Mus musculus: one gene and its partners. The protein of the gene in region 7 purifies or fractionates together with the protein of the main gene of each other region. This does not show direct contact. Links are inferred from orthologs where the notes say so. Each region holds a gene or a part of one and is shown on either strand. Other genes may lie near its edges. The genes, in order: Copb1, Nudcd1, Copg1, Copz1, Arcn1, Copg2 and Copa.

Region 1 (4,075 bases), on a different chromosome or scaffold from region 7:
GCCTGAGCACACACACACACACACACACACACTCATATAAACATGTACATGCACACACAGACACAAAATAATATATATCCTAGTTAAAGTGGCAGTGCTAGGACTCCAACCTGAATCCATGCTCACACACTCTAGGCAAGGACTCTGCTACTGAGCTTTATCTACCACTGCCCCATAATCTACTTCTAAATGGACTGACAGCCATGATTTAGCAATTTAGTAATCTAGCCTCCTCTGAACTTCACAATTGTTTTAAATTTCCACATCTCCAGCTTTATTACTTTACTCTAATGACTGTCCCAAAGCCTTGTTCCTGCTAAACAAATACCCACTGAGCCACATCCCCAACCCTTTTCTACTTAGAGACTCATTAAGTTGCTCAGACTGGCCTCAAACCCATCATCCTCCTGACTTAGGTTTCCCTAGAAGCTGAACTTAGACGACACACCACTGGCCCAGCAAATTATCAACTGCTGTTAAGAATCAGTTAAGAATCACAGCTCTTTTCACTAAAAGCATACTTCTTTATAGCCTGTAAGACAAGACCCACACTGTTCAAAATGAGAATTTTAAACAAGGTAAAAAATTGTAATGCCTTTAGCAAGTGAATAAATGAACTGAGTGAACTGCAGCAATACAATTAGGAATAATGGTTATGGTCTTAAACTAGAAAGCATACAATAATCTTAAGTGGCACTGTGCCATTCAAGCTGACTGTTGTCATGCGGAAACTAGGGCTCACTGATGCCAGATCGTTTTTGACTTCTCCATGGTAACAATGTAATGACAGTAAGAGAAAAAATACTGTATTGATTAGTAAAACATATCTACAAGTGCATACATTCTGTAACCAACCACACTGGAACCTCTACTCTAAAGCACTGAAAACAGAAGTAAAGCAAAGGAGGATCCTCCCTTACCTGTAGATGGTATAGATCCTCCCTTACCTGTAGATGGTATAGATCCTCCCTTACCTGTAGATGGTATAGATGGCCAAAACAGCATTTCTCCTAACATAGCTGTGACGATGTTCCAAGCACGCACGGATAGCAGGCATTAAAGGTTCCAGCAATTCTGCTTCCTTCAATTTGCAAAGGAAACGAAGAGTAGATCCACGAATAAACTCATTGGGGTGCTGGAGATCCTGATATAAAAATTACAGCAAGAAATGTTGAGTTTCAACTTTAAAAAACCTTACATTTACTTATTCGTGTATGCATGTGTGTGTACACTCACACACACCGTGGAGGTCAAAGGACAACTTGCAGGAATCAGTGGATCCTGGGAGTCAAACTCTCTTTACCTGCTGAGCCATCTCACAGACTTAAGTTTCAACGTTTTATAAAAATCAAATTTTAAATGTAAAATTTCTAATTTGAAAAAAGTTAAAGTTAGATTTAGGAAAAAGACCTAGATTACTGATTTCCTTCTGATTCCTCTTGATTAAAACAATTTTTACTCATTTCACTACTATCTTTTAATAACATAAAATACACAGAAAATGTTGGAAAAGGCAACAAAATAATTTTTTTAAAGATTTACTTATTAATTTTTATGTATATGAGTACACTGTAGCTGTACAGTTAGTTGGTTGTGAGCCATCATGTGGTTGCTGGGGATTGAATTGAGGACCTCTGCTCGCCCTGGTTGGCCCCACTCACTCTGGCCCAAAGATTTATTTATTATTATATATAAGTACACTGTAGCTGTCTTCAGACACATCAGAAGAGGGTGTCAGATCTCATTGCTGATGGTTGTAAGCTACCATGTGGTTGCTGGGATTTGAACTCAGGGTCTTCGGAAAAGCAGTCTGTGTTCTTAACCACTGAGCCATCTCTCTAGCCCCAAAATAATTTTTTAAACAATAAATTTTACAAGCATGTCCAATCTTTTAATATTATGGTAAGATGTTGTCATCTACGAAGTTTACTCTGAGACTTATGCAATAGTTACAAAGAAAAACAAAACCAAATAAAAATCCGCCCCCAAATCCACCAAAAAGTATTTGATAATATATTAGGTTTTTATGTTGGGCAGCATTAACAGCTAGGCCCAGCTTCAGGCAGTCTAAGCTTTTGAGTTTACAACTTCAATAATAAGTATTGTAATTTTTTTCATTTCATCAAACATTTAATTTTGAAAACTAATAGTATCTATTACAGCAATTTTATAATTACAAATCAACAAAGCCAATAGTTATGGTTTGGTTTACCTTTCTGTATGCATCACACACAAGAATCATTTCATGTAAGAGCCTTCCATCTGGAGTTGTTTTAGGAACAATCTCCCAGAAGACCAGGAGCAACTTTTTGATGGTGTGATCCTGAAGAGGCAGCACGAAGCGAATGATTGTCATCAGGAGTCCGGGAAGCTTTTCCCCATTCAGAATCATAATGATCACTTTCTTCAAAGCTTCAGTCTTTGACTTCACATCGCCTTTCTCTGATTCAATAATTAAAAAACAAAACAAAACAAAACAAAACAAAAACAAACACAATTATTTCAAAACTAAGTTCCTCAGATAGTTTAAAATAAAACAAACTAAATTTACTATCAGCTGTGGTAACAAGGTTACAAATCCAAACAACATGTCTGTGACTCTATTTTGTCTCTGAATCTCAGATACCTTATATATGATCTGATAGTACTGGATTAGACTTCTGGTCTCTAACCAACTGAGTTAACGTAGAGCTCCTGAACCTAGAGCTATACCACAGGGAAGCAGACACTGAGTACCTTCTAGCTTAGCACATGAGAAGTTAGAACAGGTCAATCCTCAGCTCAAGGCCAGCTCTAGGCAGGGCTACACAGTACGCCCTGGCCTCAACCCCATCCTGTAAAATCACACAGCACACCGCTTTCCTTCTTAGTGCTGTGTACTGAATTCAGAGCCTCCTGAGTACTTGGCAAGTACTATATAGTTAACATGTCCATAGCCCCTAGCACTTCACCAGGACAGGGGCCTAAGCTGCCCAGACTAGTTTTAAAAATGTGACCCACTGTTTCAGCCCTCTGAACAGTTGGAATTCCAAGTACATAATGGCCCTTATATACTTTAAAGGAGCAGAGCATGAGTTTTCAAACTTCAAACATATATGTTTCTTTTGCAAAAATGTTTTCAAGATGAAAATATAAACATGTAGGGGATGTTCATGTTTACTTTTGTATTAACTTCATTTGTTTGCTTATACTGACTTATTACCTACAGAAAATTGCCAGATATATTTAAGTATCATACATTAAACTATGCAAGAAATTATAGTGTTTTGAAGAACAAGTAATTAAATGATTTTATTTCTTTAGCTTTATTAGGCTGGGCTATTATCCTATTTCTATAAACCAATTCTACAAGTCTAAAGGGAAAAAAAATTCCTTTTTCTTAAGATAAAAGGTCTACTAAAGACATTCTCAAAAATTCTAGAGGGGAGGCTGGAGATCAATGGCTTACAGGTTAAGGTACGTAAAAAAAAGTCCCGAGCTCTGTCCCTAACCCCCACATCGGGCAGCACACAACCACCAAGAACTCCAGTTCCAGGGGATTAGACATACCTTCTTCTTACCGAGAGGACCTGCACTAATGTACACATATTCACATACAAGCATACATAACTTATAAAAAATATTTAGCAAAACTCTAGAAAAATTAAGCACTTTTAACTATAAGCAAATGTGAAATATAAATGAGTCTCTTTTGATTTCTCAATTTTCACTACAACTATCAACATTTACTTGGATTCAAGCTGTCTTTTTAAAATTTAACTACCTTGTGTTTATATGTGTAAGTAAGCATGGGCACATATGTTACAGCATGGACACGGAGGTCAACTTTCAGGCTAAGTTTCTCTCCATCATGAGTTCCAGAGACCTAACTCAGGTTGTCATGCTTGGGTGGTAAAGGTTTCCACTTTCTGACTCATCTTCCTGGCCTAATCCCAGCTCCTTCTTTCTTTAAAATTATTTTATATTTTGTGTGTATTGGTGTCTCTCCCAGAATGTGTGTCTGTGGATCATATGCATGTAGTGCTCTTGGGAGACCAGAAGAGGGCATCATATCCACTGGAACCACAATTACAGT
Region 2 (4,075 bases), on a different chromosome or scaffold from region 7:
CTGTACCAATCTAAACAATGAGCTAAGTACATGATAAATATTTTTATTTGTAAACACTGAATTGTATGTTTCATATAAAAGATGAGATTCGATCTCAGGTTTTAAAAAATAACTATATTTGCTAATATCTCCATATTTTTACAGAAGCCGGTGTTCTCTAATCCTGTAGCTTCGTCTATCCACAGCTTTTACAGATTCATAATCTACTGAATACATTTCCAGTATCCTTTAAAAATAAAACTTCATAAAAGGTATTCTCATTTATCATGCTAAAACTTATCAAGTTATAGTACAACTGTTCAGCCCTCCAGGTACCACTGGATACTTTTTAGACAAATGTTGGAGGATTAATTCTCCGTATTTACTCTTATTAAAAAGAGGTTTTTGGTAGTGAGAACAAATAATCTCTCATTTGTTGCCTGAAAGCCTAAAATAGGATCATTGGTTTCTAGGCTTGCTACCTGCTGCTTAGCAACTTGCCCCACATGCCTGCCTTCCTTCCTGTTGTACAGCACAGTGGACATGGGGGTGGGCTGCCGATAGATGAATACTCGGCGAAGGCACTCACAAAGGGCTGCATACGAGTAGTTTGGAGCACATGCAAAAAATTTCTTGTCTCTCTTTGAGGCTTGGACGTAACCTGCCAAAATACAAGAGAAAAAAAAAAAAAAAACCTGTCAAACTAAAGTGAGAAAAATCAAGATTTAACACTTAGTATCCCATGGTATCTATCACACATTTAAATACTTATGTAATACATATACTATTAACAGTCAACAATGGTTGAATTCAGCACCATTAACAGTGAGTCACAATTTCTTCTCAGAGGCATAAAAATAGAACTTTAATTCCTAAGGCACAAGCAAGCCTCCTGCTCTTCAACAAAAGCACACCATACTTCTGTTTAATCTCTACGAAATAAGATAATAACAATCTTAAGTCTTAAATACCAAATACATAAGAGCTTTAATGCCTAGTTAAAAAAAATAACCCTAGGAATACAATGACAACTTAAAAGAATTAAAAAAAAGACAAACAACAAAACAAAAACAAATGAAGAAGGCACTAGATTATACAAAGGCTTTTCTCCCATGCCCATGGATTTATTGTGAAAATAAGCTATATGAGTGAAAGTGGTTTACAGTTTAAAAAAAAAATCCTCATATAAATTCTAATGATATTCTTTGGAGAAATGGATAATACAATCCTGAAATTCATATGGAAACACAAAAGACCCTCAACAGCCAAGGAAATCCTAAGCAGAAAGTAATGGGTGGAGGTTATTATGGTAGTGATTGATCTCAAGCCATACTACAGAGCCACAAGATCGAAGGCAGCATAGTACAGGCACAGAAACGGACATACAGACAAATGGAATGGTGTGAAGTGGGATTTCTCCACCTCTGGTGTGAGTGAGACACTTTTGGGAGAGGAGTGACCCTTTCACAGGGTTCAGCTAAGAGCATGAGCAAACAGAAACACTGTCGCTAACAAACATTAGAAATCCTACAGCCTTTGTAAGGAGTCCTGCTGGGAAACGGGATATCCACATGGAGAAGAATCAATTCAAAGTCGATCAAAAACTTTTAAGACCTGCAATTCTGAAACCAGTAGAGAAAACGAGTGGTAACAAGTGACAAGCAAAAGAAGGACTTAGTGGGGAAGACTACAGCAGTTCAAGGAATAAACCAAACTCACATACTGAATTGTGCGAAAATAAAAGGTAATGTGCAGCAAGAAAGCAAGGAATGCTGAGAAGACACAGCCTACAGAATGTGAGACTATCTGTGCTATCTGTTTCTGAGAAATCATTGTATCCAGAATAAAGAACTCACTGAATTACAACAAACCAAACAATCCAGTGTATAAATGGATGATGACATGAAGAGGTAGCTATCAAGATGAAGCACAAATATCTCATACATATAGAAAAAAATGTTCAGCATGTTTAATGTGAAAATTCAAATTAGATCTATAATGAGATTCTGCCTGAGTTACTCAGGATGGCTGTTACTGAGGAAACAAAGGACAATGAATGTTGAGAATAGTGTGGGGAAAGAAGAGCACTCACTCAGTACTGATGGGAGTGTGCACTGGTACAGACAAGAAGGAAATTAGGACAACTGGAAACGTACAACCACCATCTGATGCAGTTTTACCTGGTCATAAAATGGAAGTAACCAAAGATGCCTGCACCCAGCATAACACTATTTACAGAAGTAAAGACATAGAATTAGCTTAGATGCCCATTAACAGATGAATACATAGAGGAAATGTGACACACACTCACATATTCACGTGGAAAGAACAAAATTATACACCACAAGGAAATGGATGGGAATGGACATTACCATGTTAAATGATATCAGCCAGGCTCAGACAAATACTTCATGTTTTCATTCACATACAGACTCTACATATTAACACACACACACACCCCACACACACCCACAGACATACACATATGTGTAAGTACAGAAAGATACAAAAAGGTGTTTAAAAAATAGATGACATTGTAGAGAGCGGAAGAATAAGGAAGAAGACAAAAAATCATTTTTCTCATGCAAGCTAGATTTAAATGCATACATGAATATTTATATATTTTGCATATATGTTTATATATACTCTATAAAGTGAGCAAAGTCATGAGGCACAAGCAGGCCAACACTGCTTGTAAAATATTAGGTGAAGATATAGAGATCTATTTGAGTAGATGAACATTAACTGTACAAGAAACTCCAACAATAATGTATGTAACTCAAGTACTAGCTAATATAAAATTGATTTAACTTAGGATGAAGCATGGCAGTTCATTTCCAAGACCATTTTGACATGGAATTGAAGAGTCTTAGCATGTAAAAGCAACCTGGAAGAACTTTCCTCTTCCTTAAGGAAAGAAGATAATTACAAAATAGCAATTACAGTAGAGGACAGAAATTGTGTGGTTAATTAATCTATCAAACCTCTTACTATTTCATTTTATAGAAATCCACTTAAGAGCCTGAGTGAGGCCATTTAGTTATAAGCGCTAAGTGACAAATTTCCTCAATAATTAAGAATTGTACACACACAGCCTTTAAAACCCACAATTCTACATTTTGCTGCCAGTTTAAAAAAAGCTTTAAATAAAGCAATAACTGTAGCTAATTCATCTAGTACAACTCCTACACAATATTACATAAAATCAATGATGGCATAGTCTATAGTTATATATACTTTAAAGTTTTTTCAAGGGGTAGTTTCAAAACAAGTATTTTCCTCTTTAGCAAATAAATTCAATTTGTGCTTGACCTTTTCATGACTGTTTGATTATCATGGCCTCTTGTTTACTCTGTGGCTTAGACTCTTGCTACATTAACTCTGGCTAGCCCCAGATGTGTCTGTGCATCCTGCCTCATCACTCGGGTGGTGGGAATGCAGGTGTGCACCGCCAGGCTTGGCTTCCTTGACACTTAAGTTCAATGACCTATGTCTTCCAAAGGGGGGGGGGGCATTACTGTACAGCAACTGCATGAGTTTTTGAAGAGACTTACATACAAGTTGTGAGTACAGCAAAGTCAACGCTCCTACTAATACTGACTTAAAAGAAACAACTGATTAGAAATATCCCATGCCAGGCGTGGTGGCGCACACCTTTAATCCCAGTACTTGGGAGGCAGAGGCAGGCACATTTCTGAGTTCAAGGCCAGCCTGGTCTACAGAGTGAGTTCCAGGGCAGCCAGGGCTACACAGAGAAACCCTGTCTCAAAAAAACCAAAAAAAAAGAAAAGAAATATTCCAATGGTTATATTGTCACTTCCATGTTCATCCTGCGTTATCTTCTGTGCAACTGGAAGAACATGTTCATCTTTCTAGTCTAACAGTTTAACAGGACACAGAAGAGCAAACCACAGCAAGACCCAATCCATGGAACGATCAACGTAATGTAATCAATGGAGGGCTCCAATTAAAAAGTTTTAAGATGATGACTACTTGGGCAGACTGCAAATGCTACTGTAGAGAATGCTGTCTACCTAGGGCATTGAAGGTGGCAATGTGCTCCCACATGTCGTCCTGCTTGCTGCAGTGTGGTTGC
Region 3 (4,075 bases), on a different chromosome or scaffold from region 7:
GAAGCGTGCAAGGAAAAGAGCAAGCTGTCAGCATGGCTGTCCCTACCCACTTGGGGCTACTCCCTGTGCAGTATATCAGCCTATCCTTGCACACTCTACAGTCCAGGGAAACAGACGGGCCCTGGGGATGAGCAGGGCCTTACCTGGTCTCTGCTCTGCCATAGGCGTGGTGGCCAGAGGCACAGACTTGAGGTCAAATGGCTTCTCTGATGGTTCGAGTGTGTACTGCTGCAGGGCTTTCTCCAGACCAGGGATGGACACGGTCAGACCTAAAGTCAGTAGAGAGTTATTCTGCCTGGCTGGCACGACAGAGAGGCATGGCGTGCCTAGGGAGGACAGAGGCCTGGGACTCCTACCATGACTGGTAGATGTGCTGATGCTGACAGTCATGGAACCTGCAAGCTTTACTCCCTCCCTATCCTCTTCCTCCTTCCAGGGTTGGCAGGTAGGTAAATACGAAATAAGTTAAGTGCTGGTACGAAGACAGAAACCAACATACCAGGCTTAAAGATTTTTATTAATGACTGTTTTGCACTCTGGACATTGACCTGAGGGGATTGTCATGAATTCCAGGCCAGCTTTAGCTACATAAAGAGATACTATCTCAAAACAACAAAGTTTTGGACTGAGGATACAGCACAGTGGTGGAGACTTGGCAAGCATATGCAAGTCCTGAGTTCAAGCCAGAGTAACACACAAAGAGCACTTAATTTACTTGGTTATTTCCATTGACTGGATCAAGCCATGCAGCCCTGGGTCTTCTGAGGTTATATCAATCCAAGAGACTGCTATACAACTCTAGTGAAGCATGAATGGTCTTGGGTGCCTTGGCTCAGGGACAGCACGCCTTCTCTAAGGCCACAGGAAGGCCCTGGTGGCCAGGGACAACTTACCATTTAGGATGTAACCTGCGTTGAGAGCCTTCTGCTTCTGTTCCAGAACGTTCAGATAGAAGGTGGCTCTGTCTCTCACTTCATTGTCGTCGTCCATCACACACCTGCAGCCAGGACACAAGGCACTCCTGACTGAGCCTAGCCAGGGGGTCAGAGGGACCCTGCAGGACTGTACAGGGATGGCAGGGCAAGGCAAAGCTCTAAAGCTCAACACTATAACATACAAGGGGCTGATGCAGCTCAGTGGTAGACAGCTCTCTAGTAAAGATATCACCCAGCACCATAGGCAAGCCAAAAAAGGCAAAACACAGAGGTACCCTTGAGCTTAGAGGAGTACACTTCTGGACTCAGCAGGTACTAAATACCACAAAAAGTGCACAAATATACATGCAGGCAAAACACCCACACAAATAAGATAAACATAATTAAATCTTCGTTGGATATGGTGCCTTGCACCTTTGATTCCAGCACTTGGGAGTCAAAGGCAGGAGGATCTCTGTGAGTTTGAGGCCATCTTGGTCTACAGAGAAAATTCCAGGATGGCCAGGGCTATATAGAGAATTGTGAATAAAAGGTGGACTGGACCCAAGGGAGCACTGCTATGCACTCTGGCTTCTGAGCTGAGACTCACCTCTTCAGCAACACCAAGATACTAGGCAACATCTCTTCGTTCTGAGCTCCAAACTTGGCCAGAGCACTTACTGCACCTAGTTCCAAGGTAAATATGACTCACCCGCAGCCCCTCAGGCCCACCTGCCAGAGTGCCGAGGCTGCCCACCAGTGTTCAGAGTGGGAATCCACGCAGAAGCGCTAGGGGGTGGCACCGCTGACACAATCACAGAACAGATCCTGTGTAATCCTAGTGGATCTTGGTGCTACCCAGGTCTCTAATTCCTCCTCCAGTCACTGGAGAAAGGGTGACACACATGTGGCTCTTGTTCTAGGGCTTTAGGGACAACTTTCAAATGAATAAGGCGACAGGCATTATCAACACTGTTAGCTACTTCTGAGCAGCTTCCTTTGTAGCTAAGCTTGAGAGTAAAACATGAGAAAATAAACCATCACTTACGACTAACTACTAAAAGAAGAAAATTTGCCTACAAGGGAATAGAAGTAAAAATGGAAAATAAGATGAAGTTAAAAACAAGATGGTAGGGCTGGACAGATGGCTCAGCGGGTAAGAGCACTGGCTGCTTATTCTTCCAGAGGTCCTGAGTTCAATTCCCAGCAACCACATGGTGGCTCACAACCATCTGTAATAGGATCTGATGGCCTCTTCTGGTGTGTCTGAGACAGCTACAGTGTACTCATATAATTGAAATAAATAAATCTTTAAAAAAAAAAACCAAAATGGTAGACTGTTAGATCACTGACTTATAAAAAAAGATAAATCTTGTGGTGTGTGTTCTCTCTCCAGGTATGGTGGTACATACTTAGGATTCCAGCACACAGAAGGCTGAAGCAGTACGGTTTCAAGTATGAACCAGCTTGGCTATAGAATAAGACCCTATCTCAAAAAATAAAAACAAAAAACTCTTAAGTACGAATATACAATGAAATTTAAAAAAAAATTAAATTTTAAAAAAATCATTTATCCATTTGGCATCTAAAATCCTTCTGACAATGTAAAAAACAGCTTATAAGGCCATGTTCCCAGTGTGCTTGTCCCCCTGAGAGCTTAGGTCCCATTACTGGGCAAATTCACTGCAAAAGAAGCTAAGAGGCCAGGGTCACCCCAGCTCAGATATACCTGCCCGAACTTCTTCATGCTCCAAGACCACACGGTTGTAGATAAAGCGAATGTACTTGGAAGGGTTGTTGGTCTTGGGCCCCTCCTGGCCCAACAGGTGCAGGATGCGGGTGGCCAGCACAGTGAACTCGCAGTCCTCAATGAACTCGCACAGGTGTGACAATCCTGTCTCCTTGCTCTCTGAGTTCTCCTCGATGATGCTGATGATGCAGTCCACAATGGCACGCTTGTACTCAAAGCCACCCTGCAGAGAGAAGGGTCTAGCTGAGCAAAGATCTCACATCCTCAGGAGACCAACGCAGGCCTACAGCTCAGGCAGGCCCAGGGAACAACGCTCCATAGGCAGCCTGGAAGCAGAAGCCTTGGTTCCAGTCTCTGTTGGATAAAACAAAAGGCTTGGCCTTCTAATTCTAACAGGAGAAAGATTAATGGAAACATTTTAGACCCCATTTCCTCTACTGAGTGTAACACACATTACACTAGTGAACTGTCGTGTGCTGTTTAAGCTGGCTCTGGAGGAAGGGAAGGGCTGCTCCCTAACTCTGTTCTGGCCTCACACCCAATCATGTTTTGTCTTCCAAGACCCCTTGTCCAGGGATGATTGTCGTCTGTCCTGTGATAAAAGGAAAGGAGAACAGCAGTACAGTCCAGGAGTGCAAACAGCACCTTTGGGGACCGCAGAGTAAATCATGTGATGTTAAAACGAAGTGTCCCTGAAGACAGCTAAGCAAAGCAGTCCCAAAGCAAAAGACCCCCTACAGCTCATCTCACGATGTAAAAACTCGTGTAGTGGGAACGGCCAACTGCCAAGTCTCAGCTAGCAGGAGACAGGCTGTCAACAAGGGTCTCCAATGACTGCTCCTTCCCCCAGGCTTTCCCACTTACTCCTGTGGGATGCTGTGTATACACTTACATTATGCACTTTACTGCTCTCTTCCTTTACTCCTGCGTGCTATAGCCCTACCAGACCCACTGACATGAAACAGAAAGCCCGGCTATGGGAGATTATTCTCCACACAGAACGGAGATATGAAAAAATGGAGTGGGTAGCACACAAGGCTGGGAAAACAACATGGCGGTTCCTCACAACACCAAGGACAGAATTATCTGATCGGTAACTCCAGTGCTCGGTATCAGCAACAGGACAGATTGCAGAAGCACCTGTCACAAGGGCCACAGCATGGTGTACACAAAACGTAGCCTCTTCACTAAAGGAATACTACTCAGCATTGAAAAGCAGAAAGTCCTGATACATGCTATGATACAGATGGAACCTGAGAATAAAGGAGACAGAAAAAGATGAGCACTTCACGATTTCCCTCAACTAAGGTAACTGCAGCAGTCAGATCATAAACATAGAGGAGAACTGTGGGTAAGAAATCTCGGAGGAAAATTAAAAGGTTGGGCTGGCTAAAAGCACTTGTCCAGAAAG
Region 4 (4,593 bases), on a different chromosome or scaffold from region 7:
GGTACCAGGTATGTAAAGGGTGCACAGATATACTGACTTTAGGGTTTCTATTGCTGTGATGAAGCACTATGGCCAAAAAAGTAAGTTAGGGAGAAAAGAGTTTATTTGGCTTACACTTCCCTATGGCTGTTCATCATTGAAGGAAGTTAGGACAGGAACTACAGGAACTCAGGCAGGGCAGGAACCTGGAGGTAGGAACTGATGCAGAGATCACGGAGAGGTGTAGGGGGGCCAGCCCTGGTAGGGTCAGGTACTGAGGTGGGACACAGCATAAGATGGAGGTCAAAGGCTAATGATCTCTGGCCTTGTAACTCTTATTGTTCTGGGGGTCAGAAGCTGATAGCTTTCTTTCCATTCGCTCTAATCTCCAATGCCTTGATATCCTATTTCAAATTGAACCAAAGTGGGAAAACGTTGTCCATCAAAGTGCAGGTCTCCTGTACTCAACTCCCAGACAGAAAGTGGGCAGTGGGCAGCAGATTCTCTGAAGCTGAGCAACGGGGCATAGGAGCTGGCAACTGAACTCAGGTCTTCCACACGAAGAGTATGAGCTCTTTTTTTTTGTTTTTGTTTTCGAGACAGGGCTTCTCTAAATAGCCCTGGCTGTCCTGGAACTCACTTTGTAGACCAGGCTGGCCTCAAACTCAGAAATCCGCCTGTCTCTGCCTCCCAAGTGCTGGGATTAAAAACATGTGCCACCACTGCCCATCGAATATGAGCTCTTAACTACCGAGCCATATCTCCAGTCCCCACAGTTTTTTTTTTTTTTTTAAGTAAATTACATTAAAAATATTGAGGGGGGTGGTCTGGAGAGATTGCTCAGTGGTTAAGAACATTGGGTGCTTTCTCTTCCAGAGGTCCTGGGTTCAATTCCCAGCAACCACATGGTGTCTCACAACCAGCTGTAATGAGATCTGATGCCCTCTTCTGGTGTGTCTGAAGACAGCTACGGTGTACTCATATAAATGAAATAAATAAATCTTAAAAAAATATATATTTATTGGGTATGTGTGCATGCCACACGTGTATATCCTGGGATATACTTCTCGAGACCTTGGTTTGTGTAGTTAACGCTTGGCTGCCTATAGCTAACTTGGTGAACTTTCCGAGGTTGTTGAAATGACCCAAGGACACTACAGCTGTGGATATCCTAATGGTGGCGATGGGAATCTGTATTCGGGTAGGGCTTCTCAGCAAGGCTAATGTTAAGGGCTACACATAGCACCCCCTATAGCGAGTGCGAATTGGAGGCTGACAGAATCACGTGGCTTCCTCCTACCAATAGCAAAGTAACAATCGCTTCCTCCGTTCCCCATGGAAACAACACCGCCCTCAATGATCCTCCCGCCCCTTCAGTGCTGAGGTTTTGGCCTTTCATTGAAAATTCCGGGTGACAATCTAACAGCTGCCTCTTCTGGCTGGACAGTTGGCTTCCGTGAAGCGAGTGACTACGCTGACTGGTCAAGACGCGAAGGCTGGCTCATCTTCACCCAATGTTGCCTCTTTGAGGCGGGACCTAGCGAAGACTCAGGGCCAATCAGCGGTGACGTCGCTTGTGCGACTCCACGTCGGCAGCAGCTACGGGCAAGATGGAGGCGCTGATTTTGGTAGGAGCTGGAGGGCCAGTGGCTCCGTTGTGGTGTCCAGGGGGTCCGGGAGGTGGGGCTCATCAGCTGGGGCCGGGAGAGGGTTCCGGGCAGGCCTCGGGGGCCAAAGCTCCCGCTATCTGTGCAATGCAAGTGTGGCCTACAATGGGAGCTAGAGCCGCGGTATAGAGTAGGAAGCCTTGCCGGCAAGAGAGCAGGAGTCGGTGGCAAAGTTGAAGAGAACATGCAGGGTCCTTAGGAGAATTCTGATTGCGCTGGAGGGGTGTCTTTCAAGTTCTCCCCGATGGTTTTTGTTGTGGATCATACCTACTTGAGTTTCCCCAAACCCTCATATTCTAGTCCCCCAAGTTGCAATGGCAGAAGAGAGGTGTTTTGTCAGTCCCAGATCCTCCTGGTGGTGGTCAGAATTCGACTACCTTTTGGCAATTCCATGTCCTGTTCCTTTACAAAACTTGTTTTTATTTTCCTGTTAATCCTTAGTATGTAATTCTGTCATGATTGAGAGTCAGCATTCCATCCAGGTTCAGGAATACTTGGTAGAGCTAGTATAGATTTTGGAATATCTTTTTCTGACTCCTTATTCTTCTCTCCTACTCTCCCCTCCTTCAGACTTTAGGAACTCATACTGTAAGATCCATTTCAGCCTTCTTGCTTACATGAGAATTGTGATTATAGAAGTGCATTTAACTCTCTTGTCCCTTGATCCTTTCTGCTTGTTCTGCCCCCTAGAACAGGATCAGAGCATTTCTTTCAAGACACTGGCCAGCAGTTTAGAGACCCATGAGTCTGCCTACCTGTGTCTGTGTGTTAGTGTAGGAATTTAACTCCCAGCTTCTTTCCTTTAGTTGGACTCCAGGATTGTTTCTAAGAGTCTTCCTTAGCTCCTGTTTTCATTTATATTCCTTGTAAGTGTACATATCAAACTCTTGTCAGTAAAAGAAAAAAAGCTTTTTCTTCTTTCTTTCTTTAAAGGAAAAAAAGTTTTTTGAGACAGGGTCCCTCTCTACCTTTCCCTTTCCTGATGCCCTAGCTACTCATTATGTAAGCCATGTTGGCCTCAGACTCACAGAGGACCACCTACCTCTACCCTCCAAATTCGGAGACTAGAGGTATGTGCCACCACATCAACTTGTTTTAGTTTTCTCACTGAGAGTTTCATGTAGGTCTGACTGGAATCAACTTTGCCACGTAGCCAGGGCAGACATCTATACTCACCTGGCATTTATGTGGGAATTTGAACTTTGGTTTTCTTATTTGTATGACAAGCACTTTAACCACTGACCTATCTGTTCAAACCTCCTTACTTTCCTTCTTGCAAATGTCAAAGAGAATTTATTCTCATCATATGTGTTGGACAAGTTGAAGCAAAATGTTTAATGTATTGAGTAGTTCAAGTATTTACTATACCGGTCAATGAGTTTTTAAAAATCTTGTGACGATGTGGATAGAGTCTGTGAAACTAGTTTCCTTGGATGTTTTTGGTCTTCTTAATCAGGTGTGGTTGCTCACACCTGTAACCCCAGCACTCAGGCTGAGGCTATATTGTTGCTAGTTTGAGGCCAGCCTGGGTTACAAAATAAGACCTCGTCTCATAAAACCAAAATTAATGTAATTTAGTGGAACCAGCTTAAAGAGTGAGGAAAATGGTACTTGGGGAACTCCTTTCCCATTGGTTCTGTTGGGCTGGGTGTAAATGCTAAGAGCATATGGTCTAGCTATCTTTAAAAGCCCTGTGTTTGACCCCAGCACTAGGAGAGCTGAGGTTGTATGGGGAAATCTCTGTGTCATTTTCTCTCTTTCTTGCACTGTGTGGTATCTCTCAGCCTGCTTCTTCCTCATTGTTCCCCCTTGCAGCTGAGCTAACCAGCTGCATGTAGTAACAGACCCTTGCTAACTTGCCTGCATATCCCTCACCTTTACTTTTAAAACTATACTGAGCCTTTGTCACTAGCACCTTAATGTACTGGGTTTAGGGAAGCAGAGCTGTAGGAAAAGGCTCTTTCTAAGGAAGGGCAGTGCCAAAACCCCGTTCCAGTTTTGTTTCCTTGTTCTCTCAGAACAAATTTTTTTTTTTTTTTTTTTTTTGAGACAGTCTCATTATGTAGCTTGGGCTGGGTTTGAATTTGTCTTATCCCAGAGTCACCAGGTTTCTGAGGTTTCTGTAGGTTCTTGCACCTCTTCAGTTTGCAGAATTTTCCTTTCAGCCATGGGTTGTATAAAGTTTTTGTTGATGGTAAAATACCTACAGGGAGCTATGGATTGTGGCTCCCACCTTTAATCTCAGTGTTTGGTTGGCACAGGCAGGTGGATGTCTGAGAGTCTGAAGTGAGCCTGGTCTACTTAGCAAGTTCCCAGACAGTCAAAGCTATGTAGAGAGAGACCCTGTCTCAATAAACAAACAAACCAAACCTACAGGTATTAGTTTTTGTGCTGATTTTTAAAGTTCTTGACGATTAAACTGTTGTCTTTTTTTTTCCCCTATGTTCTTTCCAACTTTATTTAATGATTTTTTTTTTTTTTTTGGAAACTGGGTGTCATTATGTAGTCCTGCCTTGCTTGGATCTTGCTGTGTAGATCAGGGTGGTTTAAATGCATAAGGATTCTCCTCTGGCTCCTGAGTACTAGGATTAATGTTGTTTGTTTCTGTGCCCACCATCACCACCACCATCACCACCACCACCACCACCACCACCACCACCACCACCACCACCATCATCATTATCACATTTATCTTTTGAGACAAGGTCTCTTTACATAGTCTTTTTTTTCCCCCTGGTCTAAAGATTAATTTATTATTATATATAAGTACACTGTAACTGTCTTTGGACACACCAGAAGAGGGCATCAGATCTCATTATGGATGGTTGTGAGCCACCATGTGGTTGCTGGGATTTAAACTCAGGACCTACGGAAGAGCAGTCAGTGCTCTTAACCGCTGAGCCATCTCTCCATCCCTCTTTACATAGTCTTGGCTGTCCTCTAACTC
Region 5 (4,075 bases), on a different chromosome or scaffold from region 7:
AGAAGAAGAAGAAGAAGAAGAAGAAGAAGAAAAGTACAGCTGACCAACAAATCTATAGCATCCTACATAAAACTACACACTGGTGGCTCAAAACCACTGTACTTCCAGCTCCAGGGACCTGATGACTTCTTCTGGCCTTCACAGGCACCTATTAATAGGTGGCATACATTCATTCAAACACACATATACTTTTAAAAAATTAAAACGATTAATTCAAATATACAAAGTAATAGCATCAATTCCACTTTGCCAAAAAGAACTTGCTATGGTAATGAAGGTAAGAGAATACCCATCACAGCTTGGTGTGGTGGCGCACGCCTTTAATCCCAGCACTCGGGAGGCAGAGGCAGGAGGATTTCTGAGTTCGAGGCCAGCCTGGTCTACAAAATGAGTTCCAGGACAGCCAGGGCTACACAGAGAAACCCTGTCTCAAAAAATCACACACACAAAAAAAAGAACAAAAAAAAAAACCATCACAGATACCTACTTGTCAACGGAATAAAAGATTCCTCTGTTGTTTGTAGTCTCCACTTTAGTACCCCTACATCACTGTTGACTGGAAATGACTTCTCTGGGTTTTTCAAGCCAATGAGAGACTCTGCAGTAAAAAGTTTTTTATCCACATTTGGATGCGTCTGGAATGAGAAAAGAAGCCTGAAGTTCAGAGTGACAAGTAAAGGGGCCAGGCAAGACGGCTCAGTAGGTAAAGGCTCTTGCTTCTAAGCAATAACCTGAGCTGGGACCCCAAAAGAGAACCAACACTGGAAAGTTACCCTCTGCCCTCTGTGCATATGACACGGCACATGCATGCCCATATAGACATATATACACACAGATACAACACAGATACACACAGAATAAATAAATACACTGAAATTAAAAAAGAAGAAAGAAGCTGAAAATGTAGCTCAGTCGACAAAGAACTTGCCTAGCATATATGGGGCTCTGGATTCAACTGCCTACAGTCCTAGCACTCTGAAGTTAGAGAATCAGACAATTAGAAGTTCAAGGTCATACTCTGTTACATAGTGAGTCTGAGGCCAGCCTGACCTATGTGAGACCTTGTCTCAACTATTGCACATCAAGGGAGGGAGGGAGGGAGAGAGGGAGAGGAAGACTAACAGGAAATAAACCCCTCTGGGTTTACATGGTGGATAAATAGGGTTCCTAATAAATTATATATATATTAAATTTTGTGGAAAGATTTGCCTTCTATAGAGACTTAAGATTTTATACCATCTTTAAAAAAAAGGTGGCTAAGGCTATAGTTGAGCCTTGCTCGAACAAAAGCCTGTATTCAACTTCAAAGTACTGCAAAAATCAAACAGAACACCCAGAACAGGAACCATGCTAGTACTCAGTATAAAAAGCCTCTGCATACCTGTAGCTGCACCCCTTTCTTATCTTCATTTTCTACATGAAGACGAATCCGGCCAAATTTGTCATCTGAGATCCTAAGCATGATCATGCCATGCAACTCCATATTCTGTAATCCTCCATCTCTCCCACAGGTTAGTGTGATCTTCTCTTCAATCTTCATGTGCACACTATAGAACAAAAGTCAATCAGTATGTCAGGAAAGTAGGAACCAGGCTGGAGATGGGAGTTATGTTGGCAGTGTATGTCTAGCATCATGGAGCACTGAGTGACCCGCAGCGCCACATGAAACCAGGTATAATGGTACTGCCTCACTCGGTGTGTGTACTTGGGAGGTAGGATTGGGAAGCGAATCAGGAGGACTTCAGGCTATCTTTGGCTCATAGTGAGCTGAAGGTCAGTATGAACCACAAGAGACCCTGCCCTTAAAAAGAAAGAGAAGGGGCTAGAAAGATGGCTCAGCTGTTAGAACACATACTACTATGAATACCAGGTAGCAGTGAGAAAAAAATAAAGAAAACCTTCAACATGAAAATCATATTAAGTAGTCATGGAAGCCATGGAGCTAAAGCAGGAGGATTCCCACAAACCTCAGCATGGGTTCCTACAGTGAGTGCCATGATTCAAGAAAGAAGGAAACAAAGAGAGAAAGAAGACAGTAATGTCTAAACTTACATTGTAAGCAAATTTAAAAAACATAAGCCGAGTGTAGTAGTATACCTTTTAAATCCCAGCGCTTAGGAGGCAGATGAGGTGGATCTCTGTGAGTTCAAGGCCAGCCTGTTCTACATAGCAAGTTCTATGCACTGTTTGTCTCAAAACCAAAAAACCCACGTTTTTGTTTTTTTCTTTTTTCCGAGACAGAGTTCCTCTGTATAGCCCTGGCTGTCCTGGAACTCACTTTGTAGACCAGGCTGGCCTTGAACTCAAAAATCTGCCTGCCTCTGCCTCCCGAGTGCTGGGATACCACGGCCGGCTTTTTTTTTTTTTTTTTTTCCCTGTATTTTTTAAAAGAGGAATTTCAACATAGATACTCTGTAAAAGTAGACAATACTTCCCCTAGAAGATATGTTTTATTAAAGAAAATCTCTGTGCCAGGTATGAGATATAAGGCCTCCAAACAACACAAGCTATTGTCTCTGCTCTTGTCTGCGCACCCTAACTAGATGCTAAAACGACTGTTGAAGATACAACTCACTTTGCTTTCAGGACATAGGGAAATTGGTGGATCTGACCTGGAAACTTCTTCCCTGTTGGCTAGCTTTCAGTGCTGGAAGATAGATCCTATGCAGCCACTGGGGAGGAAAGATAAATGGCCTTACCAAAAAGTACTAACCCTGAATCCTGTACTAGTGTCCTTCCAGGCAAGGTAGGACCAATGGTGCAACAGGGGCAAGTAGGTTAGAGGAGGAGAACCTACTGCTTTCTGGTTTGATCTGAGGCCTACACTTCACAAGAAAGATTTCAGTATGTAAGCCTAGTTAAAGTCCATGGTTTGGGATGTCACAGGCCTTAGTGGAAAACTTACTGTTATTTTGCTAAATGGGTATATCACTACACTGTTTCCTAAATATTTATGTTTATACACAGATTAGCATTGCTCCCAATCTTGCCCAGTATAGATATACAGCTTATAAATATTATAACTGAGTTGTGTGTTCTTTTCACAGGCTCACTGGGGTTGGAAATTTACTACAACAAAGCACTATTTACTATTTACTCATTATCTATAATTTAACGGAAAAATGCAACTGGAAATTATATCTAATTGTGGTGGTTTGAATGAGAATGGCCTCCAAAGCCCATTGAATATTTGGTTCCCAGCTGGTGGAATGTTTTAGGAAGAATTAGGAGGTTTAGCCTTTTTGGAGGTGTGACCTTAGTTGGAGGAGGTGTGTCTGGGGGTTGGCTTTGAGGGTTCAGAAGCCCACATCAAGCCTAGGCTCTTTCTCTTTGTCTGCTGTCTGAGGATCAGAAGGTAAGCTCTCTACGACTGCTCTAGTACCATGCCTGCCTGCCACAATGCTCCTGTCAATGATGATTATAAACTAACTCCAAAACTATGAGAACTCACAATTAAATGCTTTCTTGTCCTGATCATGGTGGGTTTGTTTTTTTTTTTAATAGCACTAGAACACAACTAAGATATAAATATATGTCTGCTTTGTATAAAGATTTTTAAGAGGGCTGGTGAGATGGCTCAGTGGGCAAGAGCATCCGACTGCTCTTGCGAAGGTCTGGAGTTCAAATCCCAGCAACCACATGGTGGCTCACAACCATCTGTTACAGATCTGACGCCCTCTTCTGGTGTGTCTGAAGACAGCTACAGTGTACTTACATATAAAAAATAAATAAATAAATCTTTAAAAAAAAAAAAGTGGGGGTGGGTGGGTAAGGGGGACTTTTGGTATAGCATTGGAAATGTAAATGAGCTAAATACCTAATAAAAAAAAATGAAAAAAAAAAAAAAAAAAAGATTTTAAAGAAGTAAGCCACAAGTTTTTACTCCCCTGTATACTACAGATTATCCTATTCCCTCAGAAAAATGTCCAAAAAGTATTAATATTGGTTATCTCCACCATATGAAACTTACATAGTTGAGAAGACTTTTATACATTTAAAAAAGTTTTTTACTATAGAAATTAGAAATACATAACAAGAAAAAATAAGGCTATTGCTATGGGCAATTAGTAAGTAA
Region 6 (4,795 bases), on a different chromosome or scaffold from region 7:
TTCTAAATGTTTTTGAGATTGTATTTACAGTTTGAGGCAAAAGCAAATAGGAAAATTAATAGCAATAATAGAACACAGAATTTTTTAAATATATGTTTTTGGTTTTGTCTGTTATAACTCTAGTACCTAGAACAGTTCATAAGACACAACAGGTATGCAGTAAAACTCACTGAGTTACAATGGAAAGTATTTCTGAATACAAATATGCCTAGCACTATGATAACTGTTTATAGCTAGTATTTCACTTAACTATAAAGCTTAAAACATTGGTATTATAACCTCATTTACATCATGAGGCACATAATGGTTAAATTACTTGTCTAGAATCATATTGACAGTATTAGTGTAATAACTGATACTAATATAAAACCTGAACATTAAGACAAAAATTTCAACATTTCACTATCATGCCAAATAAATAAGCAAAAAAAAATCTTGAAATATATTCTAACTTTACATTGTATTTTCAAAGGATCTCAAAATACATGCAAGCTGCTGTTGGCACAGCAGTTACAAACACTTGTTACTCTACAGAGGACCCAGGTTTGATTCCCAGAACCCACAGAGTGGTTCCAAGTAACTCTAGTCTCAGGTGACCTGATGCCCTCTTCTGACCTCTGTGAACCAAGAGCACACACATGGTGTGCACATACATACATGCAGGTAAAACATGCATACACATAAAATAAATAAATAAATCTTTTTAAAAAATACTAAAAATAAATACATGTAACAAGTATGTTCTAAGTAGTATTTGTTGAATTCAAATCAACATATCTATTGAAATGTACATGTTTAGTTGGTCTAATACCTCATGAATTTAAACAAGGAATATAGGCTCAGTCCTTGTATTAAAGAACTTTCACACATTATTGTTCTAATCACACACTGTGGATTTTCAAATTACATGATTTTCTTTTTTAAACAATTCTGCTTTTCAGTAAGTTCTTCACTGTAGGTTATATATTTCTATCTTAATACACAAATCGAAGGAAATCAGAATAGTTTACCTGGTTGAGTAAGTAAAGAATCTTTGTCAAGATATGCAAGCATCTTCTTGGATTGATGGGCGTTTCGTTGAATATGCGTGCCTACAGAAATATGCAAAACAGTATGCTGTATATTGTGTATGTTCTATCACAGAGGATATCAAATCATCTTTAGTAGCATTAACAATATGTTAGTACAATATCCAAGTAATGCAGGTTGTCTATGCTCTCAAGGTAGTATGACGTACAATAAATTACCAGACATTATCTGCTTTCCTGGCTATATTTTATTCCTTTAGGTTGACAACTTCAACTTTAAAGACTTGACCAGAGTCTCTGTCTACATATGAATGCCTCGAGTTTAATATCTGTAAGCTCTTCTAATAACCTTGCACTTACCACTCCTGACATGTCATTAAAATCCCCCAGCACACGACAGAGTCTATATGTCTGTACGTTTCTATAGTCCCAGCCTCTCCCTTGTCCTCTACTCCACAATCTCTGCACTGCTACACTCCGTTGTCACTTTTAATATAGAAATAAAAAAGGGATTTCTAGTTTTGATCAAATGTGGGGGAAGACCGATATTCAGACTGTCAGGTGGGTCTACGGTCCTTCACTGTTTTTTTGGCTGTCCTGACTTTTGTACTTCCTAGGTTCTTTGCCCATTATTCTCAAACAGAATTGATAAGGCACTGTACACATCCAAGCCATACCTCCTGCAAGACAGCACTCTTCTCCAAATGCTGGAAAGGATTGGAACCACTACCTATAGTATAAGAAAAAGAGAAGGTCTTCAATAGCTGGACTACAAAGACTTTTCTAAAGGAGGATATTGCATGCTTGGAAATCTCACCTAAACAGAATGATCCCTTGGAAGTCACAAGGACAACTATTACTAATATGCAAAGAAGTTGGATGAAGTAATTTTGATTCTGGTTCAAATTCTGTCATTGCCATACTGAGATATCTTGGACTTCTCCTGATATAGGAACCCTATCCAAAATGAGTGCCTTCATTCCCTGCTTCCCCCTCCCCCATCCCATGGATGTTAACAAATGTGTCGGTTTCCACCACCACCAAGAGTAATGAGATGACAGGACACTATGGATTTCCCTAAAAGCAAGCCCTATTTTATGTGTTTCACACATTTACTGAAGCAGAAAGGAACAGTTTCGCAGAGAGTCACAGATGTAAAGGCCATGCAGGATGAGGCCATGAAGGTCCACTAACCCAACCTTCCACCACACTTGTGAGAGCAGCTACCACTGAAGAGCTGAAGATTTTTTTTTTTTTTTTTGAAGAGGCTTGGCATCTTCCCCACTTGCACTGCACCACAGACAGGTATCAACACGCAAGTCACTTCTGGATGCCTGAGCATTCAATGAGCTGTGTCCCACCGGGCAGTCTTAACCCCTGGGAACAGGAGAATCAAGGCCCTTCAGAGTCCATAAACACGCAACCCTGGCCCGGTCGACCCCAGCTCCCAAAACAGGGGGTGCTCGCCCTGGGGCCTAACCCCACCAGCAACCCCAGGGTACCGAGACTTGCGCGCGCACCTCCTCGCCCCCCGACAGGGCCCCACGGAGGGCCGGCTCGGAGGGGCTCGATCGGGGGGCGGGCGCGGGGGGCGGGGACGCGCCGGGGCGGAGCCGCCGAGCGCTCGAGGCGACTCCCGGCCAGGAGCGCGCGGCCCGAGGGGAGGCCCCGGCGCCGGGGGAGGGGCTTCGGGCAGACCCCGCCGCTGCGGCCGCCCCCCAGAGCAGGTGGCTGCGGGCGAGGGAAGGGGGGAAACCCTTGCGCCTGAGAGTGGGCGTCCGGAGCGCCGCGCGTACCAGACTCCTCGTCCTTCTTGTCGAATTTTTTAATCATCTTGGACGGCTTCCCAGCGCCCAGACCCACCGCAACCGTCCCAGGCGCCGCAGCCGGCGAGCGGAAGACGCTGCAGGAAGGCAGGCCCTGGGTTCTCGCACCGGTTGGGCCGGCGGGCCGTCACTCGGGGCCAAGGCCCGCCCCCCTCGGGCCTCCGCGGCCGCCCTTGCCCCCTAGGGACGCAGGCACGCCCCCTGCTCCGCCCACTGCCGCACGGGGGCGTGGCCAGAATCTGCCCGGAGGCTCACCACGCCCCGCTTCACAAACTCTGCAAGCCAGGTCTGAGACAACAAACAGGGAACTTTATTTGGTTAGTGACTTCTCCAGGCCCCCTCAGTTCTTGGAGAGTGAGGAGTGGGGCTTTAAGTCTTTGTCTTCACCAAATGACAGCCGCATCTTTGACAATCCACTGCTGGGCCCTTCCATGGCGAAAGAAGCTCTCCCCTGGCACACTTCTTGTAGGCTTCTCTTCTAGGAGCTTTGAAAATGTCAGGGGTTCCCAAAATACTTGCGAAGTTGGTGTTTCACTCTCTGACTTCATGGAAACTACGACAAAGCATAGGACACGTTGAATGTGCGACTCTGAGAGCACTAGAAGCGTACTAAAAGGAAGGCGTGATGTGATCCATTTGAGGAGACCGAAAAGCTGGTCTTAATTTAACTTTCCAAGAGGGTAGATTTGGGGACTGCCATTCCCAACTTCTTATGATTCCTTCTTCACCCAAACCAGTGTAGTTTTCTTGGCTTTCACCATTTTCAAATGATTCAATCTGCATAACACTCAAGTAATTTAAGGGATACTCATGTGTCTCAGTGCTTTTCCAAATGTTTTCTCTTTTTTTTTTTTTTTTTTTGTCCTCGTCTCAGAGTATGAAAAACACGCTTTTAATGCCTTGGGCATCGAAGACATCACATTTCTAGAAGGTCTTTCCAGCTTCACCTGTTCTTAGGGCGTTGACTACTTTAAGATCTTAATGACAGTCCTTCCTCCGTTGAGGGCGTGGTTTGCCTCTTGGGCAACCTTCTAACCAAACTTGACAACTTCTACTCAGATCTCTCTCTCTCTCTCTCTCTCTCTCTCTCCCTCTCTCTCTCTCTCTCTCTCTCTCTCTCTCACACACACACACACACACACACACACACACACAAATGATAGGGCATCATTTGGGGGACAGAGATGTTAGCTTAGAAATGGCACCACTAGTAAAACACCCTGGCAGCTTTGTTATTGTTGAGGAAATGCACCATAACTGTCTGTTCATTTTAGGTACAAAAGTAAAGCACTCATATTTGGAGAGGGCATATGTAGTCGCCATAAATGACACTAGAGCTGAAGGCTGACATATTACTTTATACATGAAGATCTATCTCATCCTGACAGGGCTTAGAAAAGGTCCTACCTAGATTATGCTACATACCCTTAAGAAAAATTTCAAACTGGGCATGATAGCACACACGCTTTTAATCCCAGAAGGCAGATCTCTGAGTTCAAGACCAGCCTGGTCTACACAGCAAATTCCAGAACAGCCAGGGCTATACAGAGAAACCTTGTCTTGAAAAAACAAAAAGAAAAAGAAAAAATTCCCATCATATATAGATTCCGCTGAATAATGTGCCCAAACCTTAGTAATGGTGCCACTTAAAATGTTACTCCATCCCGATTAAAAATACTATGCTAGGGACTGGAGAGATGGCCCAGTAATTAAGAGAATTTATTGCTCTTGCAGAGGACCTGAGTTCAATTCCCAGCACTCACGTGGTGGCTGACAAACCATCAGTAACTCTAGTTCCAGGTGATCCGATGCCCTCTCCTCTGATCTCTGTGGGCGCCGTAAGTGGTAAGCGGATATACACACAAGCAAACCACTCATACATAAAATAAAATGAGTAAACCTAATTTTAAAATGTAAATACTATACTAATGATTCTAGCTA
Region 7 (4,075 bases):
CACAGTGGCTGGGCGGTGGTGGCATACGCCTTTAATCCCAGCACTCGGGAGGCAGAGGCAGGTGGATTTCTGAGTTTGAGGCCAGTCTGGTCCCAGGACAGCCAGGGCTATACAGAGAAACCCTGTCTTGAAAAAAACCAAAAAAAAAAAAAAAAAAAAGTACACAGTGTGAAGCATTTTTGCTGTAGCTATAGAAAACAGATACAATAGCTAAATACATTCCATTAAAAAAATTTTTTTTATTAGGTATTTTCCTCGTTTACATTTTCAATGCTATCCCAAAAGTCCGCCATACCCCCCCCCCTAAATACATTCCTAAACTCACAGTTTTTAAAAACCTTTTCCAAATAGTTTTCTGTCACTCATCTCCCTGGTCTTCCTTCTCTTTCTTGAACCCAGGACCTCATACAAACTAGGAAAGCAGCCTGTGACAGCACAGTCTCCCTTTTCTCACTCATGTTCACGTTCTTGAATACCCACTATAAGCCTGTAGGCCACCACTGTCATCGTCCTCCCTTCCCTTGACTTTTTATTCAAGGCATCTTCAAACACACATCACTTTCTATACTTAGAGTTTACAGACCATCTCCCTTAAAGCTCCACTAAGGCAGGCAGTATTTATGCACTGCTCTGACACCAGCATAAAGAGCATGGGCTGATATTTTATTATGTATTTGACAAATGAATGAAGTAGACTTGGCTTCTACGTTCTCACTCTGAGAACTCTAAATGTTCACTATTAGTCTCCTATGAGCTCCTAAAAGCACATCACAGAGAATGAGCTTAAGGTCAAACAGAGCTTCATGGTGAAGATCACTAAAGAGCTCCATCTCCCAAAAGTAAGAGATGAGAATGAGAAAAGCTTCCGGTAGGTGGCTCTGAAAACTCTGCTTCTCTTTGTTTTCCTATTACCACTTATAAGAGACAAAGCTAAGGAAGAATCACTTTGAAATCTACAAACTTTCAACTAAATCCCAGGAGCGAGAAGAAGAAATGGTCCTTACCTGCTGCAAAGAGGTTAAGGTTGGGATGGGCAGCCAGGACCCAGAAGCGATCATGATCCCTACGGAAAGTCTGAACCCCAGTCCTAGAAAACCAAAAGGTACAGAAGAAACCGTTAATCAAGGCTCTTCAGTACAGCATGCACAAGGAAAGTGAGTAGCAGGCCTGGAAGATGACTTTACAAGTGCACTGGAGACAGGGAATGCTGTGCACTCAGCTAAGGATCAGGACCACACCCACAAGGAACACAGTGGGAGGGAAGGCTTCACACTAACCCAGGCCTAGGCAGGCCAGTTTCTCCCTTGTCTCTCCTAATGTACTTTTAGTTCACATTTCTACCTCTTTAGCTGAACAATGAAGGGAAGAAAAAAATATACTCAAATTTAGAGGAGAAAAAGAATACAGGGAGATTTGTACCTAAAAAATATTGTTGCTATTTTAGTCTCTAAGGGTTTTTGCTGTTGCTTGCTTATTTATTTATTTACTGCTTTACAGCAGTGTGGATTACATTTATGGCCTCATGCATGACAGGCAAGCACTTTAACCACTAAGCAATACAGCCTTAGAACTTCAGAACACAGGACTTGGTTTTTCATCATGCTGAAGAGAAAAAGAAGTATTCTAATTTTTTCCTTTCCTTTTACAGATATTAATATTGCATAAGGAGTGTGTGTGTGTGTGTATGTGTGTGTGCGCGCACGCACGCGCGAAGACAAAGGATAAGACAAAGAAAGGGTCCTTCTCTTGGGTTTGGTCACATGACATAAATAATTCCCTTACCGCTTAGACATATCCCAGACTCGAATACTCTTGTCTTCAGAATTGCTGAGGATCAACTCTTGGCGAGGGTGAAAAACAGCACAAGACACATTGTTGTAATGGCCCCGGCAGGTGTCAACCTCCCATGCCTTTGATTCTGAAGAACAAAAGGAATTGTTATCACAATTCTCTGTAATAACTCTGGGATCTATAAATCCAACACCCATTCTTTAAAAAAAAAAAAAAGATTTTAGTTGTGTTTTTAGTTTTGTGTGTATTTATCTGTATGTGGTTTTTTGCATCTGAGTGTAGTATCTGTGGAGGCCAGAAGGCAGCCCTTGGGCCCCTGGAGCTGAAGTAACAGATGTCTGTGAGCTGCCTGACATAGGTGCTAGGAACCAAACTCAGCCCTCTGTGGGTCCACTGAGCCATCTCTAGCCCCAGCTTTTTGAGGAGACAAGGTTTTGCTATATGGCTCAGGACGGCCTTGTGCTTGTGATCCTCCTGCCTCAGCCATGCATGCTGATACTGCAAGACTATACCATCATGTACATGCATGCTGATACTGCAAGGCTATACCATCATGTACATGCATGCTGACACTACAAGGCTATACCGTCATGTTGACACTGCAAGGCTATACTGTCATGTATATGCATGCTGACACTGCAAGGCTATACTGTCATGTACATGCATGCTGACACTGCAAGGCTATACCGTCATGCTGATACTGCAAGGCTGTACTGTCATGTACATGCATGCTGACTCTGCAAGGCTATATCGTCATGCTGATAGACATTGCAAAGCTATACTGTCATGGACAGCTGTGATGATGCTCTTTAAATGCAAGTGCTAAGTACTATTGCAAAATGCTAAATCAATTTTCCCCAAATGGGACAATGTTTTTCATGTAAGTTTCTTCCTCTTTATTTTATGTTTATTTTTTTTAGTTACTTGAACCTTTTTTTGCGGGGGGGGGGGGGTGTCAAGACAAGGTTTTGCTGTTGCTCAGGCTACCTTTGACCTCCTAGGAATTGTACTACCTCAGCCTCTTTTTTTTTTTTAGGAAATCTTTTTTTTTTAAATTAATTAATTTATTTATTATATGTAAAGTACACTGTAGCTGTCTTCAGACAGCACCAGAAGAGGGCATCGGATCTCATTACGGGTGGTTGTGAGCCACCATGTGGTTGCTGGGATTTGAACTTCCGACCTTCGGAAGAGCAGTCGGGTGCTCTTACCCACTGAGCCATCTCACCAGCCCCTACCTCAGCCTCTTGAGTAGCCACAGCTACCTCAGCTCCAAAATTCCTGTTTTTCTGTACATCTCTGTTCTTTTATTATGTACCTCTACTGACTGTAACAGCTATATTAAATAATTCTTTATGCTTCTACTCTTATTTTATCCACATAGTATATGTATTACTTGCTGATTCTGAGAACAAATATAAACTCTATATCATGGAAATTTTGAGTCACAATAATATAAATATGGCCCTAAACACAGTCTAAAACAAAGCAGCTACTCACAATTTGTCACATGAACTTTTACTCTTGACTATGCTCATATCTCTCAAAATCAAGATACTGCCATGAGGGGTGTGGAGGGGAGGAAGAGACAATGATCATGCACTTAGGAATAGCAGTAAATAATCAACTAAGGCCTAAGGCAGAAAAATAGGCCAAAGTCCAGAAAACCTGGCTACTTCCCCTTGCTGGCTGGCTGCCACTTTCTTGGCTATGGCAACATCGCCAGTACCTTACTCACCATTCATACGCCAGATCTTCACTTGCCGGTCATCTGCCCCAGATACAATAAGGGGCATAGTCGGGTGGAAGGCAGCCCAGTTGACTCCACGGTCATGACCCTGTTAAAAAGAGAAAAAGTGGGTCTTCTACAACAGCTGTAAAAACACAATTCAAAGAAAACCATGCTAGTGTTTATAACAAAATGTGTCTGTTTCTTTTTCTGTGATACGGGCAATCAAAGTCAGGGCCTTACAGGTGCTGAAGTCAGTACTCTATCACTGATCTATTTCCTCAGCCTCTGAAATACTCAAGGCAAAAGACTTAAGAGATTGTGCCACTGTAGAGATCATTTGTTGATATTTTATTTTCATTTGACTTTTTTTTTTTTTGTAACAAACATTTGGGTTTTTTTGTTTGTTTGTTTGTTTTGGCTTACTATAAAGCTTTGAACATTAGAATAACCATATCAACATGTCCAATATTAATTCAAATTCTCATGGGATGTTGCAAACATTTCCACAAGGAAATTCAGCTTTGTTTATAGTTAGGTTTTCCTTACTTTTTA

What was found.
Region 1: the proteins of Copa (region 7) and Copb1 fractionate together in Homo sapiens (co-fractionation; 6 studies listed by BioGRID and IntAct, with this or other methods). This does not show direct contact. The link is inferred for Mus musculus from reciprocal best matches to the Homo sapiens genes COPA and COPB1.
Region 2: the proteins of Copa (region 7) and Nudcd1 purify together in Homo sapiens (co-immunoprecipitation; 3 studies listed by BioGRID and IntAct, with this or other methods). This does not show direct contact. The link is inferred for Mus musculus from reciprocal best matches to the Homo sapiens genes COPA and NUDCD1.
Region 3: the proteins of Copa (region 7) and Copg1 purify together in Homo sapiens (affinity purification with mass spectrometry; 6 studies listed by BioGRID and IntAct, counting the BioPlex papers as one, with this or other methods). This does not show direct contact. The link is inferred for Mus musculus from reciprocal best matches to the Homo sapiens genes COPA and COPG1.
Region 4: the proteins of Copa (region 7) and Copz1 fractionate together in Homo sapiens (co-fractionation; 6 studies listed by BioGRID and IntAct, with this or other methods). This does not show direct contact. The link is inferred for Mus musculus from reciprocal best matches to the Homo sapiens genes COPA and COPZ1.
Region 5: the proteins of Copa (region 7) and Arcn1 fractionate together in Homo sapiens (co-fractionation; 4 studies listed by BioGRID and IntAct, with this or other methods). This does not show direct contact. The link is inferred for Mus musculus from reciprocal best matches to the Homo sapiens genes COPA and ARCN1.
Region 6: the proteins of Copa (region 7) and Copg2 fractionate together in Homo sapiens (co-fractionation; 4 studies listed by BioGRID and IntAct, with this or other methods). This does not show direct contact. The link is inferred for Mus musculus from reciprocal best matches to the Homo sapiens genes COPA and COPG2.

The regions. Positions count from the first base shown.
Region 1 is NC_000073.6:114,247,834-114,251,908, forward strand, and holds part of Copb1 (coatomer subunit beta), read right to left. Parts: intron 2,443-4,075; coding exon 2,213-2,442; intron 1,145-2,212; coding exon 975-1,144; intron 1-974. UniProt on the Homo sapiens protein: The coatomer is a cytosolic protein complex that binds to dilysine motifs and reversibly associates with Golgi non-clathrin-coated vesicles, which further mediate biosynthetic protein transport from the ER, via the Golgi up to the trans Golgi network.
Region 2 is NC_000081.6:44,376,047-44,380,121, forward strand, and holds part of Nudcd1 (nudC domain-containing protein 1), read right to left. Parts: coding exon 4,014-4,075; intron 641-4,013; coding exon 348-640; 3' UTR 1-347.
Region 3 is NC_000072.6:87,901,010-87,905,084, reverse strand, and holds part of Copg1 (coatomer subunit gamma-1), read right to left. Parts: intron 2,888-4,075; coding exon 2,644-2,887; intron 1,601-2,643; coding exon 1,525-1,600; intron 998-1,524; coding exon 894-997; intron 270-893; coding exon 144-269; intron 1-143. UniProt on the Homo sapiens protein: The coatomer is a cytosolic protein complex that binds to dilysine motifs and reversibly associates with Golgi non-clathrin-coated vesicles, which further mediate biosynthetic protein transport from the ER, via the Golgi up to the trans Golgi network.
Region 4 is NC_000081.6:103,271,335-103,275,927, forward strand, and holds the start of Copz1 (coatomer subunit zeta-1), read left to right. Parts: upstream 1-1,553; 5' UTR 1,554-1,589; coding exon 1,590-1,607; intron 1,608-4,593. UniProt on the Homo sapiens protein: The coatomer is a cytosolic protein complex that binds to dilysine motifs and reversibly associates with Golgi non-clathrin-coated vesicles, which further mediate biosynthetic protein transport from the ER, via the Golgi up to the trans Golgi network.
Region 5 is NC_000075.6:44,750,729-44,754,803, forward strand, and holds part of Arcn1 (coatomer subunit delta), read right to left. Parts: intron 1,548-4,075; coding exon 1,382-1,547; intron 636-1,381; coding exon 488-635; intron 1-487. UniProt on the Homo sapiens protein: Component of the coatomer, a cytosolic protein complex that binds to dilysine motifs and reversibly associates with Golgi non-clathrin-coated vesicles, which further mediate biosynthetic protein transport from the ER, via the Golgi up to the trans Golgi network.
Region 6 is NC_000072.6:30,893,837-30,898,631, forward strand, and holds the start of Copg2 (coatomer subunit gamma-2), read right to left. Parts: upstream 2,959-4,795; 5' UTR 2,862-2,958; coding exon 2,825-2,861; intron 2,406-2,824; exon of another isoform or gene 2,223-2,405; intron 1,759-2,222; coding exon 1,706-1,758; intron 1,092-1,705; coding exon 1,011-1,091; intron 1-1,010. Other genes in the region: Tsga13 (testis-specific gene 13 protein), read right to left, coding at 3,238-3,407. UniProt on the Homo sapiens protein: The coatomer is a cytosolic protein complex that binds to dilysine motifs and reversibly associates with Golgi non-clathrin-coated vesicles, which further mediate biosynthetic protein transport from the ER, via the Golgi up to the trans Golgi network.
Region 7 is NC_000067.6:172,099,222-172,103,296, reverse strand, and holds part of Copa (coatomer subunit alpha), read right to left. Parts: intron 3,630-4,075; coding exon 3,530-3,629; intron 1,919-3,529; coding exon 1,783-1,918; intron 1,088-1,782; coding exon 1,005-1,087; intron 1-1,004. UniProt on the Homo sapiens protein: The coatomer is a cytosolic protein complex that binds to dilysine motifs and reversibly associates with Golgi non-clathrin-coated vesicles, which further mediate biosynthetic protein transport from the ER, via the Golgi up to the trans Golgi network.